Diceros bicornis minor: one gene and its partner. The protein of the gene in region 1 interacts with the protein of each later gene in a pairwise test. Links are inferred from orthologs where the notes say so. Each region holds a gene or a part of one and is shown on either strand. Other genes may lie near its edges.

The links. The genes of interacting proteins can lie anywhere in the genome.
Region 2: the proteins of GSTA4 (region 1) and C12H2orf50 interact in binary tests that used the Homo sapiens proteins (3 or more experiments, as listed by UniProt). The two-hybrid records come from large-scale screens. The link is inferred for Diceros bicornis minor from reciprocal best matches to the Homo sapiens genes GSTA4 and CIMIP5.

What each region holds. Positions count from the first base shown.
Region 1 is NC_080753.1:13,856,836-13,867,226, forward strand, and holds the start of GSTA4 (glutathione S-transferase A4), read left to right. Parts: upstream 1-5,925; 5' UTR 5,926-5,989; intron 5,990-6,942; 5' UTR 6,943-6,960; coding exon 6,961-7,047; intron 7,048-10,391. UniProt on the Homo sapiens protein: Conjugation of reduced glutathione to a wide number of exogenous and endogenous hydrophobic electrophiles. This isozyme has a high catalytic efficiency with 4-hydroxyalkenals such as 4-hydroxynonenal (4-HNE).
Region 2 is NC_080751.1:69,125,223-69,135,867, reverse strand, and holds the start of C12H2orf50 (uncharacterized protein C2orf50 homolog), read left to right. Parts: upstream 1-5,863; coding exon 5,864-6,114; intron 6,115-9,895; coding exon 9,896-9,935; intron 9,936-10,645.

The sequences.
Region 1 (10,391 bases):
TCAAAGCAGCAGAAGATTTTTATATAATAACTGATAGAATTTTGCATTCAGCTCAGTTCTCCAGGCCTGGCTGGGAACAGACAATGAATAATCTTCTGTCCTAGCCGAATTCTCAGGGCAGTTTGGGAAGCAGAAAAGATGTATGGCAGATGTCCCACTTATCTGGGAAGTCACGGTTACCGTGATGTTAGTGTCCATGGCGTGCCACATTTGAACTCTTAACCCTTGTGTAGTTTCTTTCAACAGTGAGAACTCTGTTGGGCAGAGGCTGTCCCATTGAGAGGAATGTTTACAGCAGTTCTGAAAATGACAAAGCTAGTTTGGAGATAGAAAAAAACAAAAGGTCCACTTTCATCCATCTCTTTGGGGCACAAATTTGCCTCCACTCATGGTTACCTGAAAGGCAAGGGGAAGGTCACCACTGGTGAATATGATATAATCGCAATAGTGTATTGACTCACATTCTCTCAAGGCATTTGGTTCCAGGTTCCAGGATAGAGCAAGTTGACCCATATGAAATTGTCATTTTTGTAGCTTAAAATGAATATTGGCACTTGGACATGGTTCAGCATAATAAAGTTGGTAAATTATTGCTTTGATGTATTAATAATACGTTGCAGCCTGAACAAATCGCTGTGGCTCCCAGAGAGCCTGAACCTAAAATCAGGGAGTATTTCTGCTTTGGGGAATCTGGCTCAAAAATGTATTTGACCAAGCACTAGAGGCATGAGGAAAGCACATAATGGATGTGGATTTGATAAGTAATATTTTCCTGTTAACAAACTGGCAGCAAAGCTTCAGAAAATAAATATGTATATGTATGCACAACTTGAAGTTGAATTCATTTCTGTATTATATTCTCAACTCATTATCTAAAGCAACAGAAAATGTGTTTTCAGAGATGAGTCTTTTACTGAGGTTAATATTTATTTTCCCTTTCTGTATTTTGTATAAAGAATAATTTAACCTGTAACCTTACCCAGCTTGCTGGAAAGCTGGTTTTAAATTGTAAATACCCTTTAGGGAAGCAAATGGATTGTGAATACCATATTCTTGGCACTCTAGCTTATGTTAAGGTCGTTACATATTTTTTTAATTGAAAAACCTAGTTACCTGGTTATTACACATTATAAAATTGTTTCTTAATACTTTTGTAGGGCCCAAATTCAGAAAATATTTCACTTTTCTTCCTTTTCCTCTTTCCTTGGTTTATTAGCAAACAACTTCCCTTGGGAAGCCAAACACATTTATTCATATGAAAGTCAAGAAGCTAATGCACAGTTGAGAAAACTAGAAGACTGAAAAAACAACGTCAATTCTAAAGAACTAGCAAAATCCTGACGTTCTCTGTTTTTTCCCCCAGATGGGTAAAGGACACATTGTGTGTACAAGCTGTTTACTATAGAAGGGAATAGTGACCATTTTTTGTTAAGTGAAAATAAAATCTACCTGTTGCGTATATTTTTTAGTTACTATAGAATTATGAAATGTACCACAAGACACCAAGAGGAATGATGAGTTTCACTGCACCTACCCGTGACTGTGCCTCATTTCAGAGTCAGAAAGCTTTCCAGGACATCAGGAGATGGTGCAGGGCTGGCTCTCATTCAGTGACAGTGGTGTGCCAGGGGGCCCATGTGTAAACTGCAGGGAAACTGCATGAGCGTAAAAGCTACTCTTGGTGTCATTGTTCGTTTTACAATAAAATTCCATTCATTACCAAGACCTCCCCCAGCTCATGTATGATAGGATTTAAGTAGGAAGAAAATTGATTTTCAAACAATTTTTAGACACGTCTCTTGCCTAAAGGACCACCATGTACATCTAATAAATTGACACTATGTCATCTTCCAGAGTTATCAAAAATTGAATACAATCAAGGAAAGACATGTAAAACAAAACAAGAGTTGTTTTGTTTTTAAGTACCAATACCGGTACCCTTGGAGTTCACGGGCACCATGTTTTCTCATGAAGTAGCATTTCCCTACCATCAAGCCATTGTTTCGTGCCATTTAAGAAAGGAAAAAAATGCAGGCTGTATGTTTCAGCTCGGTGTATAACCAAAAGCAATATGTTTATAAGAAAATATTTGACATACTAATTATTTTATCTCATTTAAAGCACACTGTAGCAACTTGTTTGTTTAATATATGTGGTTAACTTTTAGAATTATTTTTTAAATTTCCAACCAAAGTACTGTATTTTATATAATTTATTGTGAAGACGTTCTCATGGAAACCATTAAGAAGACAAACTGGAGGCAAATGTCACACTGATCTGTATTATCAGTTTCTTAAAGACACTGTGCTAATGTGAATTTAAAATGATCTGAACAGTCTTCTGATCTCAGATTTCTCAGTACTGAGAGCAGTTTAGTCCCCTGATTGGATTACAAGGGAGTCACTGAGAATATTTATTTATAAAGCAAATATTCATAATGATGAGAAGATAGGAGGACAGAAAACCACTTATGCAAGCCTCCACTGAAATAAAGTGTTGCTTCTTGAATAGTTTGTCCTGAGGTGTTGAAAAACGTTAACTTGACGTAAGGAAAATTCTGCTCCAAATAAAGTTACAGTTTAAGAAAAATTGACTGGAGTGTTCGGGTTTTGTTTTCGTGCTCTGCCATCAAAAGATCACAGTACTATTTCCTAATTTGGAATTTTGAGATTTTATAACTTCTCCTTAATGCATACTACAGTGTTACTGCCATGGAGTTGGAAGCACACACTAGAGCCACAGTAGGAAGTTATCCTGCAAAGTGGAGGTTTTCTAAATTTAGCTTTTAGCAAATTAGGTGACTAAGGATATTAAAAAAAAAAAAAACCAGGTCAAAAACTATTTCTTGTTGCTGATGTCATCACGATTAATACCTACCTTGTATGTAAGAAGCTCATAACTTCATGAATTATATACAGGATTCCACAGGAAATTCATTTCCCAAACATTCTTTGAATCCCTGAAAGAAGTGTGCAGGAACATGTTTTACCAATCGGACTGGTATTGGTGAATCCCTAGATGTGCCCCTCACCCTCAGAACATGGCTGAGCTGACTGTGTGACCTTATGGCATATGGGCCCACCGTGCCCCTTCAGAAGCCCCACAGATTCAAGCCCTCAGCCATCCTTCCTGCTATAAAAACGCATTGTTAGAATAGGGTCTGATACCAGTCATTTATGGCTAAGGCTGAATTTAAGCCAATTGTTTCCCTCTCCCTGGAGTACTTACGTATAAAGCTTCTCTTAAACTGAGATTTAAAGCTGTTGATTTTTAAGGCAATTTTACCTGCTACTGAGTAGGTTGGTGAAGGGTTAAAGGCTGAGAGGCTCTCCCCGGGCCTCTGAAAATACATTAGGTAGATGGATAGACACTGTGAATAAGACTGTCCGAGACGGAGAGCAACTCGGAAGGTTTCCAAGAATAGCATGATTTCAGGGGCTTGCAGGGAATAACATGACCTGAGGGTACCTGTCATAGAATGGCAGAATTATTATAACAGGACTTGTATCTCTCCACAAGCATGGTAATAATAGAGTCATATGATGATGCCTTAGTTTCTCTTTCAGGTAAACAAGATTGCTAGGATAGTTTGACCCCTGTAATGTTAGGTTGGACATATGAAGTTGCCATTTTTGTGGGTTAGAAAGAAATAGGAAAGTATCAGCAATTTGATATGGTTCAAACAATTAGAAATAAGGAAATGGAGATAAATGTTTGGTTTATGAACAAAATTGAATAATCATGTTTGTCCTAACTAGTTTAATTCAAGTGAATCCTTGTAGAAAGATGGGTTGGAAAAAATGAATGATCAGTTTCAGCAGGGTTGGAAAATAATGACTTCCTACCCAGGTTAAATTGAGTAATCTGTGTTAGGTCAGAATTAGAAAGATGAAATTGAACATATACTGTTATTCGTGTTTGAAAGTGTGGCTTTTCTGACTCGAGGGGTGCCCAGCTGTTGTTGATTTTTTTCTCTTCTTACTTTATATCCTTTCTCTGGATCAGCTCATCCTGTTGCTGCCAGTGTGATCCATCTTAGTCTTCTCTTCTGAGTCATCACCGGCTTGTTCAACTGTCTAGTGGACATTTCCAGTCGGATGGCTCATAGGAATGAAAGACAAATCCACTGATTATTATTTCCCCCAAACCTCTCTCTCTTCCTCCCTCCCTCCCTCCCCTGTTTTCCTTCCTTCTTTTCTCTCCTTCTTTCCTTCAACAAGTATTCTCTGAATGCCTACTCTGTGCTAAGCATTATTCTAGGAGCAGGATATACAAAAGTATGTTTTAAAAATATGAAAATCTCTAACCTCAAGGAATTTACCTTCTATCAAATCTACAGACAGATAACAAAATAAATAAAATATCTAGTATGTTAGAGGACAATAAATGTTATGAAAAACAGACGAGGATGGAAAAGGAAATGTGTGTGTGGCTGTGTGTGTGTGTGTTTGGAGCGGCATCATTCTAGACTTTTCTCTTCCTCCTCTCCTCTACTCCTTAATATCTCACCTTTTCTTACCCATGTTCTTCAGACTCACGGTGCTACTTGAACTCACACGGACATTTAACAGGTCTCTCTTTCTCGACCCTGCACTGTCCCAATTCATTCTCCACACTTATGTTAGAAATCTACTGAAAATAATATATGATTGTATTAGTTACTGCGATTGATCAGCACCACAGTCTTCTCAAGCCAGGTAGTCTCAAGAGCCCCTCCTGGGTGAAAACAATAATCAACAAATGTACAGTCTGAGCGCAGAAACCGCCTCTAAAAACAAGAAATAGTTTTGAAGTCCTTTTGAAGGTACATATTTTTAAGTTTAAAATTCATGTGAATTTTGCATCATACTCTATAATATAGCCTTGATGGTTTTAAAATATGTTTAAAAGTTTCAACTTATTTACCAGCCAAATTACTTGTTTAGCCCCACTGACACCTTCACCCCAATGCCCCCACCTTCGTCCCATCCAGGAAGGTGCTATGTATAGTAAAAATAATAATAAAAATATATATACATATGTATATACACAAAATGAGAGAAATTAAGTTCTACTGTTTAATAAAATATGCGTTAACAGCACTTTTATGTTATATAGTACTTTGCCTACATAACACCTTTCAAAAATTCGCTGTATGTACCTTACACAAGTTACCTTACAGCTGGTATTTACAAGTCGTTCAGTGTGCTGAGCCTTCACGTTGATGCCTGTTGTTTTTTGCCTCCCAACAAAAGTTTCTTAATTACACTGTCAAAAGATTTCTTAGTTACATTGTCAAAAGAAAGGCAGACTGCCACATGCAGCGCCTCATTTGGATGTGTCTGGAGTCTTGGAAGCTTGACTACCCTACGTTCTCCTACAAATGGACCTTGAGAGCTTGTTTGGAGGTTCTAGCAGGGGAGCGCAGCTACTCGTATACCCTTGACCGAAGAACGGTCCTCCTCTATCGGGGAAGGTCGTCCTCTTCGACCGAGCGCGCAGCTTCGGGAGGGACGCACATGGAGCGGTGAGGGAGGAAGGGGACACCCGCCTAGCCAGCCAGATCAGCCGAATCAACCCTGGCGATCAATGGGGTGACAGATGTCGCAGCCAGATCGCCCTCACATCCGAGGGACCACACTTGAGCACGAGGTATATAAACCCTGTAGAGAATGCTCTCTTTTCGCATAGGTCGAGTTGTTTACCACATGCCTGAGCGCTAATAGGAACTTTTAACTAAAGTCCAAATCTAACTAACATTTTACAGGTTATTTCACCCTTCAAAATGCTAAAATTGCTGTTGAAATTGGCTTAAATTGGAGCTGTTTTTATATTATCCAGAATGCCTTGCAGATGGGTGGGGCATGCTAAATACTGCCGTCTCTATTGGTGAAATCTTCCCGCAGCCTCGCCCACCGTGAGTGCCTTCTGGCCGCCCGCTGCTCCCGCCTCGCCGCAGAGCACTTGTGGTGGGCTTTGTGCGGCTCCAGGTGCTCCGAGCGGCCTCCAGGTCTGTCTCCCCTGCTGCCCCCACCAGCCCCTTCTCCTCTTCCTTCTCCTCCCCTCTACTCTCCCGGCTTCGAGCCTCTAACTCTCCCATCCATCCGGTAACCACTCTTCCATTCAATCCTTCTCTAGTCTCCCTCCCTCTTGTCTTTGGCGCCTCTGCCCCCATCTGGGCATACGTGGGCCCTTGGCTGGGGTTGGGGTCGTTCTTGGCTCAGCGTGCGTATTTTTATTAACCCGCTCTGCAGAGTCTGAATCCATTGATGGAAGGCAGGCTCGGATCCTCCCCGGGCCGAGCCCAGCGTGGGCTGAGCGGGGGCGCGGAGTCCCCGGGAGTCTCGTCTCGGGTGGCCGACTGCGTGGCGTGGGAGCATTCGCCAGTCTGGGGGCTCATCTCCCAGCGGGGGCGGGGGACGTGCGGGACCCGGGGGCGGCTACCGCAGGCGTGGCGAGGGACGCACATTTTGCAGACAATAGTAATACTTAGCCTATCCATCTCCCAGTTGCTGTGATAATCAAATATGATGATGCATGTGAAAGTACGAATACTTGCAGAGGTTCCAGTGGGCGTGTAATTCTTCTCCGCGTCTGGCCTCTCCAGGCCGAATTTGTAAAATCTAAGATTTTCAAGGTCAAAGTATATGATGTTCTGAATCTGTGAAGTACCGTACTGCTAGCACAGATGTCTTTACAACAAATGGCCCCAGCTTCCTAAGATCCAGAATAAGAAATCAGAAATAGAAACAATATGAAAGCCAAGGTGGTTCGTTTTTTGTTTTTTTAAATGTTTTAAAATGGTGGCATGTTTTTATTGAGTGAGAGAGAACGCAGTAATAATTTAAAAAAAACAGTTTCCTGTGCCAAAATCCTGAATATTCGTTTAGCTCCTGAGCACTGGGTTGAGGACACGAAATTAAGACTGTTCGTGTGCGAGGAGCTGCTGGATTTGTTTTTCAGAAAACCTGAAAGGCCATCATGGCAGCGCAGCCCAAGCTCCACTATCCAAACGGGAGAGGCCGGATGGAATCCGTAAGATGGGTTTTAGCTGCTGCTGGAGTTGAGGTACCCTATATGCTGTTTCTTCCTGTCGTACAGCCTTGAGACTATTGAGGAAAACATAAATGGCGGAGCCTTGTGGAGTCCTCTCCCACTAACATTACAGACATGCTTCATTGAGTCAGAAGACTCCTTCCTTTCAAGGGGTTTTTTCTTTATAAATGGAATGTCGTTGATGGAATTCTGTTTTACTTTTGACTATTACTTAATCGTTGGCTTCCGATCTACTACCAATAAATTAATAAGGAGAAAAGCAATGAACCTGAAATTTGCCAGTTACTCCCAGAACTTTTAATCATACAATCTCTAGGTAAATTGTCTGTTTACTTCAATGGCTTCAAACTGGCAGCCTTCTATTTTTGTCTGCCTACGTGTATGCTTCGGCCCACAGTGTTTTTGTTTTTCTTTTGGTTCTGTTCTTTTGCCTTCTTATTTATGGAAATTTTCAAATGCGAACAGTGGTAGACAGAACATTACCGTGAAGTCCATGTACCCTTCGCCAGCTTCAACAATCATTAGCTCTATGCTAATCTTATTTCTTCTCTCTCCTCCCCTCTGCTTGTTTTGTGGGAGTGGGTACTTCAAAGCAAAATCCATACATATTGTTTCATCTGTGAGTACTTCAGTTTGTATCTTGAAAAGATGAGGATTTTAAAACATAACCACAATACCGTCATCACACCCAACAAAATTAACAATTTCTTGTTAGCATCTAACACTCAGTCTGATTGTCTCAAACAGGTCTTTTTATGGTTGGCTTGTTCCAGGCTGGATCAAAATCAGGTCCACGCGTTGTGTTTCGTTATGTTTCAATATTTTAAAAATCTCTAACATTTTCTCTGCATTAAAAAAAAATAAACCTTGTATTTGGAAATAATTTTAGATTAATAGGAAAGTTATAAAGATAGTGCAGAGCGTTCCCACATAACTGTCACTCAGTCTCCCCTAATAATATCTTAGATAACCATGTCAAAACTAAGAAATTAACATTGGTGCATAAACTATGGACTTTATTCAAATTTAATTAGTTTTTCCACTAATGTCCTTTTACTGTTCCAGGATCTGACATTATATTTAGTTATTATGTTTCCTTAGTCTCCCTCAATCTGTGGTAGTTGCTCAGTCTTTCCTTTATTTCACAACCTTGACAGTTTTGGAAAGTATTGTTCAGGTTTTTTGTAGAATCCTCCACAGTTTGGGTTTCTCTGATGTTTTTCTCATGATTGTACTGGGCTTTGGGGTTTTGGGGGAAGAATACCACAGAGGTGAAGTGCCCTTCTCATTGTATCATGTTAGGGGTTCCATGATATTAACATGAGTTATCATGGGTGCTGTTAACCTTGGTCACTTGGTGAAGGTGGTGTCTGCCAGGTTTCTTCATTGTAAAGTGGCTATTTTTCCTTCTGTTCTTTGGAAGCGAATCATTAAGTTCAGCCCACGCTCAAAAGGATGGGAATTAAGCTCCGCCTCCTGAGGGGAGAGTATCTGCATTTAGAATTCTTATGTAAGGAAGATTTATCTTTTTCTCTCCATTTATTTATTTATTCAATCATTTGTTTATATCAGTATGGACTTAAGTATATTTATTTTATACTTTGGGTTAAAAATCCAATAGTACTTTATTTTCTTACTCAAATTGTTCCAGCTCTGGCCTTTGTGGCTCTGTCAGGTGGCTCTTGTGTCCTTTCCACAAAGCCCCATGTTCCTTTTTTTCCTTTCAGCGCTTTCTTACTTTCTGACACTACAGGATGCTCCAGGCTCACCTTGTATTTTCCTTGCCCCGGCCTTAGAATCCTGTATTTCTCCAATGAGCCCTGGTCCCTTTTATTAGAACACGGTATTAACAGCCAAGATCTGGATGATAAGTGTCTGCATTTGTTTCTAGTGCCATTTATTTGTGGAAGAAACTGCCCTGTAGAATTTCCCCTTTTCTGGATTTGGCTGATTTACCCTCATTTTAATATGTTCCTTTATTCTCCATATTTCTTGTAAACTGATGCTGGGACCCAGAGGTCTGATCAAATCCAGGCTCCTTTTTTTCTTTCTGTCTCTGGATTTTTTTCCTGCCAGGCTGTATCAGAGGTGATGCTCTGAACACATTTCTATTGTATGACATCTGGGGTGCATGATGTCTGACTGTCTCGTTTTCAGCAACACTGAGCGTGATCAGTGTGTTCCGGTGACGTCAGCCTGAACCACACGTTATAAAGTTTCCTCCGTTACCCTTGCAACTAGTGGTTTTAGCAGCTGTTGATCATTGCCATTGTTAGGGATTACAAAATGGCTATTTTTCTATTTCTGTCACTTCACCTGAATTTATTAGCCATAATTCTCTTATAAAGAGTAATGTTTCATTTGTTAACTAATTACCTTGAAGTACAGTTCATATAGGAAGGGCAAGATAAATGCTTGATTCTGTCTCTTTATGAATTTTCAGAATAGTGAGTCGTTACCTTAGCAACCTCCAAAGATGAGAAATGAAGGTTGTTGGCTTTGGGGTTTTGTTTGTTTGGTTTGGTTTTGTTACAGGATACATACCCAGGTTCTTTACCCGCCACACAAGAGGGGCCAAATAAAACTGGAACACCAGGCTCACGGCAAGGAAAGAGTTTTATTTCAGGTGACGTCAGCAGGGAGACAAGAGCTCTCAGATTTGTCCCATCTCCCCGAAAGATGGGAGGCAAGGGGTTTTAAAGGTTGTGAGGGGGAGCGTCTACTGGAGTTTCAGGTAGGGGAGGGGGAGCATGTGGACCTGCTGGTTGGCACCTTCCCACCAGCTTGTGTTTGGCCTTGAAGACTGAATTTCTCTCCCTTGACTGTCTGGACTTTTCTGGTTAGTTTTCATCTTCAGCCTGCGTTTGGCCTTGTGAGGCTGAATCTTGATGTCTGTACCTGGATTTCCTGAGAAAGACAGCTCACTCATATACTGAGGAGGGACAGAAAGACCTGGTTAGTTTTAAACAACAGTTGATTATGCAGAGTATGCACAGCTGCAGTTAGCAAAGCTTATCTCAAAGTTTTTGCTCTCTTCTTCTAGCCCAGGGAAGATTTTTTAACCTCTTCTTGCTCGGTTTCAGTTTTGGTTTCTTTGCAGATTATTATAACTTGCCACACAGTGTTTTACAATTTTCTAAATTTTTATATAGAAATTCTGATTTCTGACTTCTCTTGAGAAATAGGAAGATCTGATGATACTGGGCCCTGATTTCCACAGGGCAGCAATTGCTGAATCTGAGTAAGGACCACCACTGTAGATGGACCTTTCTAGTTCAACACAGTCCGCATCACTCCCAGTTGTCTCAGGACATATTATCTGATTTGTTAAGAGGAGGGTGAAAAAATTCTTGGTC
Region 2 (10,645 bases), on another chromosome or scaffold:
CCACTAGGCCATGGGGTTGGCCCCTAAAATCACCCTCATTTTACCAAAGATAGCCAAATTAAGACTAATTGGTTTGCAAAATAAGCCTAGTTTCAATAAAGTTGGCCCAATTATTTATATAAGTACAGCAAGAATAGCAATTGATCATATAGGCTCTTTTAAATCTGCTTTGCTGGAACTTTTTATAAGGAATCTCAGATTGAACTTTGAAGGCCTCTTGCAGGAAAGCAAAGCCAAGGACTTGTCATCAGACTCCACCTGCAATACCTATAGATTTGGGTGAACTCTCCTTTTCTCAAGGTCCCCAAAATATCCTGCGGTTCTTTGCATCTGCCAGGAAGTGACCTTTATTCACCTGGCAAGGTTGCTGGGAACCCTGTAAGCAAGGCACCAAGCCAGTATTTCCAAGTAGCTTTGTTTGTTTCATAAAGTCTATCTTTGTTCCTTTGTTCCTATTTTGGTCATATCTGAGTCTATGTATGTTTCTCTCAAATACGACATTCTTATATTACTAAAGTCAAAGCTTTAGTAATATAACCAGTGTTTTCTGTTATAAGGAGAACAGATTCTCATTGAACTTATGCAAACAACTGTATTGCCATGAAGGTAAGAATACTTACTCACTAAGAGTTTCCAAATTCTGGAGGGATCAGGTAGGGAGAAAAAGATAAATGCTTAAATTCTGCTTACAAAAGTATAATTTACCAAATTGCTATAAGTCATAGCTAGCTTAAGAAAAAATAGAAAAAGGTTTTCTTAAATCTGAAAAAACAAAACATTAAAAAATCAGCACTATTTCAAATGAAAAGTCATAAAAACTATAATCAACCTCATCAGTTCGTTTACTCCCCTGTAATCAACTTTTGATCTTGATCTTCTGTTAGCAGTTTCATGAAGTCATCAGCTTTTCCGTTAGAGCTCTGCAATTTCTTACCCAGTTCACTTTTATGATCTGAAAGTTTATCAGAAACCTGCATTCTAGAGCAAGTGTCAGAGTCCTTTCCATGACTCTCTGAAGATGAAACATATTTGCAAAAGCAGAGTAAAACAATAACTGTCTATAAATGTCAAAAGACTTCAAATGGGCTATAGGTCACTGTGAAACAAGGCTTAGTTATCCAGTCAACCAAAGTGACAAGAGAAGATGTTAAAGGCAAACACAGAGAGTTAAACAGTTTTTAAAAACCTTAATAGAGAGACCTCAGCTTTTTGAACATAGGAAACTATTTTGACAAAACACGGAATTTCTTTTATGTAGATTTACTCAAAAGGTAAAGAAAAATATTTTATAATCTCTTTATCAAGAGCAGAATAAAAGTTTAAGAAAATTATCCTTTTAAGAGAGAGAAAACCAAATTTTAATTTTGTACCAGCTTACTTTTGATATTAAAATTCATTTACTTAACTAAATTCATTTTAATCTTAGCCAACTTGACCATGCACAAAACTCTTTTCTCAGTTTTTCTTCCATAAAACTTCTATAACCTTTTTAACAAACAAAAATATCTTTACTTCTTATACCTTCTTTACTGAAAACATACGTCTTACGTTTCTTGAATACAAAGATGTTTTCCTTACTAATTTTTAGTAGCTTTAATCACATTTATTAATTAGAATTCTTAACCCTTACAGACCTTAATTTTTAGTGAAAACTAAGAAGTAAGCAGTTATGAACTGTCTTTTACATTAGCATTTTGTGGCTTGGCAAACTTATAAATACTTTTTATAATTTCTAGAAATATGTGACTTCATAGTACAATCTTTTAACTAAACACAAGACATATTTACTAATAGACCCAAATATCTTTTGGTTTGTCTGTAATAAGAAGCCAAAAGTAGACAAATCTATATTTAGTAATTAATGTCTAATATTTTATCTTATTTATAAATAATCTAGATATTCAATGAATTTTCCATCATTTAATTTAACCTAGCAAAACTTCAAAGTTTCAAATTACCAGAGATTTTGGAAGTTATTTTAAATACACATAACATAAAATATAATTATTGCTAAAAGTTTATCTATAAACTCTTGTCTCACATCTAAATCATTTGCTCTGAACAATTATGTTTAGATTACCCACAAAAACTTCATGAGACATTAGGCAAAATTAGCTATCATGTTAAGTTATTATTTTTGCTGACAAATTTTGTAACAGAGATAACATGAGTTTATTTCACTGGGAAACCCAGGTTGCATGTTTGCATTATACCCAATGTTGATAACTCTGAGGACACATCTATTTTAATCAAACCAACAAACTTAAACAAGCTTTTGTTTACCAAAGATTATTTTATATTACATTAACTTGAAAGACATTTGGGCTAGTTTCTATTACATTTAGAAATAATTTATATAACCACCTACTTTAAGCAAATTAAACAGAGCTCCTTTTTTTCTTTAGAAATTATACCATCTGGAGGTAAAATATCACACATATATAACATACATATGGACACATATACACAAAGACTCCACAGCTATTGTTTTAAAACTTTAGGATAATGTACCACATCTTTAAAATTCTGCACAAAGCATTTAATAAAGGTCCTCTTTCTAAGTGTACAATTTAACCCTAGACCAACTTACCTTGGGGGGTTGCTTTTATTATCTTTTTGTTAGCACCTGATATTAGCCTCTAGTTTTTATCTCATACTGTGTGGGCTCAGGCAACCCTCTTGACTTCCCTTTAGCAATGTTTAATTAACATGGTCTGAAGGGCATATTTATATGCTGTCTACAATCAGGCAGGGGAAACGTTCCCCAGCGAGACACAATGTCTATCCTCACAATACAATCTATAATACAGTTAGGCAAAAAGAGATGCAATCACATAACCACCAGCCCTCAAGGACCAGTTCAACTGACCCCATCTTATCAACAGAGTAATTGTTTTTAAGAGTCGTTTTTCAGAACTGAGACTCCCTTGTCCAGTTCAGGCCAGGTGAGACCACCAACCCTTCAACTGGGCCTGAGCAAATGCCTGATAGGTGCTCCTTTCCACACCAAAGGGCTGAAAACTCCACCCTCAGATCTTGCTAACACCACCATTTTGTGAACATGCGTCCCATGAAGAGCCATGAAGCTTGACTATACTTGCGCAGATCATCAATTACCTCACTTCTCCTTACCTCTGATCATCTATCTCCTTACCTCCAATCATCTACTGTGGCTGTGAATCTTTTCTTTTATAAAGCCTTCAAGGTGTGTGCAAGGGTGGAAGAGGGGGTGGTGGTAAGCCAAAATTTTTATCCCCTAAGGGGAGGTTTAGAGAAGATGAGGGACAGCTAAATATGCAGACAAATATTTCCCCCTACTGGAGCCCTGCCTGTCCCTGCAACCCATCCCTGCCCCCTCCTCTGCTGACCATCATTTCTGCTCCCTCCGACTTGCTCAGCCCCTCCGAAGCTCTCTGGCTCCTCTGCCCTGCCCCTCACCGGGGAGCCCCAGCCGGGATCTTCCCTCTGCCCGCCAACTCTAGAGCGGGCTGAGTCTACAGGAAGTAGGCGGGGCTCCTCCTGCCAGCCCGCCCACACCTGCCCTGCGGGGCGGAGCCCCACTCCGTTTTGCCGACTCTCCCAGGTGCTGCTCACACCTGGCCTAGGGAGGTCGCGGCTGTCGCTGCACACCTGAGTGGAGGCTGGAAGGTTCTTCCAGCACCTACTTTAAAGGCCTTCTTGGGGTTGAGAAAAATTCGTTAAAATACAACTCCACCAACCCCCAAATCCAGAGATTTTTGTCCTCTGCTGGAAAGTCTTATATCTAGTTAGATCACAGAATGTGAAGTGTGGAAGGGGCAGTGACTTGCTTAAGGACACGCGTACTGGACCCCAGTGTCCTGATTCCCAGGCGAGGCCTGCCTGAGAGCTGGGAGGCCCGGTTGAGGAATCCTCCCAGGCGCAGTGAGACCCGCCCAGAGTGAATCTGGACGCTTTTCCAGGACAGCGACCTGTGGAAAGAAAATGTGTTCAAGCTGGACTGGAAGGTGAAATCTATCCCCCGCCCCCCATTTTATTTTGAAAATTTATAAACACATAAAACAGTTGAAAGAATGGTATAGTGCACCCCCATAAACCCATCACTTAGATTCCACAATTAACAGTTGATTATTTTTGCTTTGTCACATATCTACCCATCCGTCTATCATCTTGGGCCCTCTGCGCAAGCCCAGTGTGGGCTCCATCCCCTCCTCTACCTGGAGCATGGCAATGGTCACTTCACCTACTTCTTGTCCCCTCCTGATGATTGTTCCCCGGCCACCACCTGTGGGCTTAGAGCCAGCAGTGTCCCCCCCCTTGTGCACAGACTCCCAGGCACAGTTCTAAACAGTCCTGCGGCCCGGCCCAGCCTCCAGCCTCGGGCCTTGCCTCTTCTCACAACTCCCCCAAATACCAGGCTCTCTCTTGCATGCAAGTTTTTGTACTCACCCCAATTTCTCCACCTGGGAAATCCTTTCCACCTTGTGAAGACCCAGCTGCTTGGCCCCTCTTTCATGAAAGCAGAATCCAGAAGAGATGCCCAGGTCTGGCGCCCGGTGCAAGCTCAGTGTGCTGGCTGGACTTGTCCCCACACCCTGGGCGCTTTGCGCATACCTCTGTGTAGCTCAGCTTTGTCTGCACTTAGTTGTCTGTGTGCCTGTTTCCCAGCTATGCAGAGAAGGGACCATCACGCCCAGCTGGACCAGTCCAGAGAACAGTTTCATGGAAGCAACTGTGAATCTGCCAACACACACAGGAGCTAAGAAGAAGCGGAGGGACCTGGAAGCACTGAGTGCCTTGGGCAGAAGCAGTGAGGGGATGTCTGAGGGATCAGCTGAGCCACACTAGGACAGGCCTGGGGCCACAGAGCAAACTCGTGCTGCACGGCTTCAAGCAGAAACAGGGCTGAAGGTTCGGAACGTGAATCTCCACCCTCGGGTTCTCACTGTTTCCTTCAGAGGATGGAAACTCAAGGCAAGCTCTTCAGTTAGGAGCTGAGCGACATTGGGCAGTCAGTCCTGCTGGTGAAGGCCTCGATTTCCTCCCCTGTAGAATGGGGTTGGAAATCTCTGCCTTGGAGGTTGGGAGGGTCCAGCAAGATAAAGGATAGTGCTTTGTAAACCCTCCAGGTTTACACAGATAGAACAGATATCATGCAATGCCTGGCGTATGCTCATAACCTCTTCCATCATTCCAACAGAGCAGCAGAAGCATCACACCAGTCCCTGCTCTGTGGTTCACAAAGCACCCACACACCCACCACCTCATGTGGCATCCACAGAGGGCAGAACAGAAGTATTATCATCCCTTCACATGCCCCAAAAGGGGCAGGGGCTGCCTAAGGGCATGTGGCAATGATCGATGATCAGGAGGCTGTGTCCAGACCCCCGTGTCCCGATTGGGAGCCCAGGTCTTTTCTTACTGCCCCTCTTTCCCTCCCCCATGCTGTAGGGAGGTCTCCAGCCAGCAGGGCAGGCGGCAGAGCCGAAGGGCCACTGAGCTGGGCATGGCACAGACCCAGGAACTCTGTCCACCCCACCGTGGGGCTCAGATGTGCCAGACACACACACACATGCAGGCCCGCCCCTTCCTGGGCACACTGGGGAGCTGCCCCGTTCCCAGGGCAACTGTCAACACAGATAGAAACTCAAAACACGAAACACAGCTGGACTCCAATGCTCACCCCAGCCTGGAGGGCTCCGTCCCCATCGGCCACTCCAAGCTCTGAGTCCAGAGGGGCAGTGAGGAGAACGCCTGCACAGGGTTAGGAGGGAGAGGTGTCCTGGGAGAGGTCCGAGCTCAGGCGGGAGGTGCTCTCTCCCTCTCTCTCTCTCTCTCTCTCACACACACACACACATACACACACACACACACACTTACACTCATGGGGAGCCACCACATCCCTGGGCTCCAGAGAACCACATCAGCTGGGTACCGACTGCCCTCCATCAGGCCACCAGCCTTAGTCTCCCCCACTGCCCAGGGCAGCCCTGTGGCGGGAAGGGGCCTTGCTGGTGGCCACCAGGCCCCCCAGGACCCAGAGGCCAAGCGGGCATCTCTGAGAGCTGACAATGTGCAGCAGGACCAGCTGTGGAGGGAGCTCCTGGAGGCCGAGAGGCGGAGCCAGCGGCGCTGGTGAGTGCCCTGTCCTGCCCTCCTGCCCTGCCCCCAAGCCTGACTTAGGATCTAGGAGGAGAAAGGGGAGTGAGAGGGAGTAAGCCAGACAAAGAGAGTTGGTGGAAAAGTGTGCCAGCGGGGGCCCGGGGCGGGGGGGGGGGGGGGGGGGGCAGGGGGGGGCGGTGGAGGGAGGATCCTGGCCGTGGCCAGACCTGGGCCTAGAGAGTTGGGAGGAGTGCAGCCCCAGTGCCTTCATTCTGGGATCCCATCAGCCCAGCCCATTGGAATAATTCCTCTAGCCAGGTGGTAGGGGAGACTGCAGGTGGGGGGCCAGGAAGCGGTGGCAGCAGTCTGGGGAGAGACGCTGGCCCACTGGCCCTCTGACCTGGGGAAAGGACTTCCCTTCGTGCATTCATTCAATTCAAAAACTCCCAGGAGAGCCGCTCTGTCGGGCTGCAATGGGGGACAAGACAGGCTGGTCGTGGCTCCACGGAGCCTTCCTTCTCAGGACAGAGCAGCCAGAAAGCAAGCAGAGGACGACGGATGAGAACCCAGTACAGAACAATGAGGACAGAGCAACGAGCACCAAGTGTGGCTGGTGTCATGGAGGAAACGAATGGGGACAGCGGGCGCCTCCTTTTTGCAGGTGCTCATGAGGCCTCTCTGAGGAGGTGACATTCAAGCTGAGACCTGAAAATGAGAAAGGGCCAAGAAAGAGTTTGGTGTGTTTTAAAAACAAAGCAAAACAAAGAATGTCCGTGTGGCTGAGGCAGTCAGTGAGGGGACGGGCTGTGGAAGGAGGAAGAATTCAAGGAATGTTTTGATGGTAGAATTACAAGAATTGCTGATAGATTGGAGTGAGTGTGTGTGTGTGTGTGTGTGTGTGTGTGTGTGTGTGTTGGGGTGTGGGGGACATTTACAAAGACAGGGCCGTCTGGTGCAGGGAAAACTGAACAGAATCAGGTATTTATGGGCAAGCAGGAAGAACGCGTGACACTGAGTAGACGTGAGAGGAGGGTTAAGGGTGCAGAGATCTCCAGCTTGGATAATTGATGGGAGGAGCAGGTATGGGGTGAAGATGCTGAGTTCTGGCAGAGTTCAAAATGCCCGAACCACGTCCAGATGGAGTCGCCCAGGAGGCAGTTGACTCTGAGTCGAGAGTTGGGCACTGAAAACCCACAGAGACAGAGAGCAGATGACAGGGGCTCTCCCAGGGCTTGAGGGCAGGGAAGAGGGGAGTGACTGCTAGTGGACACGGGGTTTCTTTTTGGGGTGATGAAAATGTTCTGGAATCACATAGTGGTGATGGTTACTCAACTCTGTGAATATACTGAAAACCACTGACCCGTATACTTTAAATGGATGAATCTTATGATATGTGAATTACATCTTGATTAAAAAGAGAAAAAGGTGAGCGTTGACACCGGAGACGGGAATGAGCTTTCCCCGGAAGAACTCGAGGCATCAGAAGAGATGAGGAGGTCGGCCAGAACTTGCAACGTTGACTGGATGGGCAGAAAAGCAGCCAGGAGCCCGAGAAGCAGCAGCCAGAGAAGAAAGCCCGGAGAGCAAGGAGTCACAAAAGCCAGGAGGAAAGGGTGTGGGGAAATCTAAGAGCCCAACAGAAACACAACATGAGCCACATACGCAATGTTCCGTTCTCTAGTAGCCACCTTAAAAAATGTAACAAGAAACTGGTGAAATCCATTGTAATAACAGATTTTATTTAATCCTATATATCCAAAATGTTATCATTTCTACATGTAGTCAGTATAAAAAAATTATCAAAGAGATATTTGATATTCCTCTTTGTATCAAGTCTTTGAAATCCGTTCATACTACTCTTATGGCACATCTCAGTTCAGACCAGCCACGTCTCTAACGCTCGATAAACCGACCTCATCTTGTTTTTTATAGACAGAGAAACTGAGGGCTCAAGAATACAGTGGCCTTGCTGAGAGCCACACAGCAAGCAGGCAGCAGAGCAAGGGCGAGAGCCCAGCGCTCTTTCCTCATACCTCGCTGGCTCTCGCTAAGACTTAGCATGACTCCGAGATCAAGGTCCCTGCCTTCTGTTAATTCAAAACCAAAGCTATTGAAACATGGCTCCTTCATGACAGCAAAGGAGGCGATGGTGGGTGGGAGGGGCCAAGACATTGTGGAAGATGGAGAGAGATGGACTGGCAGAGCAGGGAAAGTGCGGCATAAGAACTACAGAGAGGATGGAGGAGGAGGGCAACGGAGCTCCCAGGAAGGCTCAGGTGTGGCTGCACCCAACATCTCAGAAGGGTGGGCTGAAGACAGGAGGCTCCATTCAAAGTCTGTCTGTGGAACAGTTAGGCAACCTGAAAAAGAACCAAAAAGAACTTCTAGAAATGAAAATGTATATAGTTGAAATTCAAAACACAACTGAAGTGAGAATTCATAAAGTCAAGATAGATTAGAAGAAAATACTCAGAAAAACAAGGAGATAGAAAACATGACAGAAGAATTAGAACCCTCGAGAACAGAGCAAGAAGGTCCAACATAACTTCAAAGAGAGCTCCCCAAGGAGAGAGTGAGGGAGATGAAATATTTGAAGAGAAAATGTCTGAGAATTTTCCAGAACCAAAGAAATACATGAATCCACAGATACTGGAGGATGCACTCCACAAAGCAGGAGAGTAAACACGAAAGGAAGGCATGGGATCCAGAAAGAGGGAAATCCCAGGGTGGTGGTGAAGGAAGGGGCTGTGCCTTGGTCCTAGAGAGCAGCCCGTCTCATTGGAGCAGAGGACCCCAGCTCCCAGAGGGCGGCCTCTGCAGAAAAAACTTAAATGAAGTTATCGATTACCTGATGTGTTTCATTTTGTGGAGAACATATTGAAAGAGCCTTATAATTTTGTTCGAGAGTTTGGAATCAATGATCAGTACATGGAAACCTAAGAAAATTGGGAGAAAATGTAATTATTAATGCTAGGAAAACATTTTAAGATGGAACTGGGATCATATTATACTACTTATTTCATCATAAATAGTATTTGTAATAATATGGCTATAATCAATAAATATCAATTTAACCAAAATCTATAATACAGTTATTTTGGAAGAAATGAAGGGAGGACAAAGGGCAAGAAGGGTAACTCATAATCTCCTGTAACAGAAAGTCAATCGATAAGTTTACATTTGCAGAAACTCAGGAAATGGCAGTATGGGTTTATTATTTTAGAATATGGAAGTGAAAGGTGTGAAGAAAAGGCTAAAAGACTGGAAACCGACTCTAGGCCGTGGGCTCAGGGAATGTGAGGGTCGGGGCAGAGAAGGCTGTTTTTATTATGTCTTATAGAATTGTTTGACTTTTTAAAAATAGATTAGAATAAAATTAAATTACCAGCACAGGTAATGCCGGATGGTCCCTTCATTGCCACCCTCTTTTCCCTCACCCTCCCCACCTTCCTCTGCCACACACACTGGAAGGTTCCAAAGGCTTGGGGAAGTGGAAACTGGTTTTTCTTTACAAAATACTTGAAGACTCGCCCAGTGGCCTGGACAATGCAGAGGCGGTGAGATTGCGTCCTCTGCTGTTCCTCTGGCAACATCGTTTCCTCTCTGGGAAGATTGAAATGTTTGTTCATTTTATAGGATACGCCATAAATACTTGGTCGACATTTGGCATTCATTTCACTTAATCATTTTAGTTCCTCCACGATGTAACAAATGCATCAGCAGCATTAACAAACGCGTAAGTTTGACACCATGAAAGCCGTTTGTAAAAATGTCACTGCAAGATCTCACACTGCAAATGTGTTTTCCTTTCCAGGGCTCAGAATTGGAGTTTCCTGAAAGACTATGATCCCATGGTAAGACAAACCACGTTCCTACCAGACAGACTTGCTCTAGGAACGTTTATCCACTCATCTAACATTTACTGAGGATCTACTGTGTGCTAGATGCTGGGATGTACAGAGACAAATAAAATACAGTCTTGTTCCAAGAAACTCAGAGTCTAGGAGGAAAGAAAATACTTATGTAGAGCATTTAAGAAATTACTTTTTCCCAGTGTTTCTTGATTTTATTAAAATGAACCAGCTGGAAATGATAGGCGTCTGCCGCTGAAATTCTTCCCTGGTATGAGGATGCCAGCAATGTACAGTGATGTGTGCTGTGCCCCATACGGAGAAAGTGGGTGAACATACTTTGTGAACTAATCCCTGCCTCTAATATCACCCCCTCCAATCCATCCTACCAAAGTCATCTTCCTAAACTGCAAGACTGACTGTGTCTCTCCCCCGCTTAAAATCCTTCAGTGAATCTGCATTTTTCAGGGTGGCTTACAACGCTTCCAGAGAGCAAACCCTGCCTCCCGCCCCACCCTCCTTGCTCATCCCACACTGACCAACCCACCCTCTCTTTTATCCACGCCTTTGTGCATGCTGTCCCCCTGCCTGAAATGCCCTTCCCATCTTTTTTTGTGTGTGTGTGTGTGAGGAAGATCAGCCCTGAGCTAACATCCAAGCCAATCCTCCTCTTTTTGCTGAGGAAGACTGGCCCTGGGCTAACATCTGTGCCT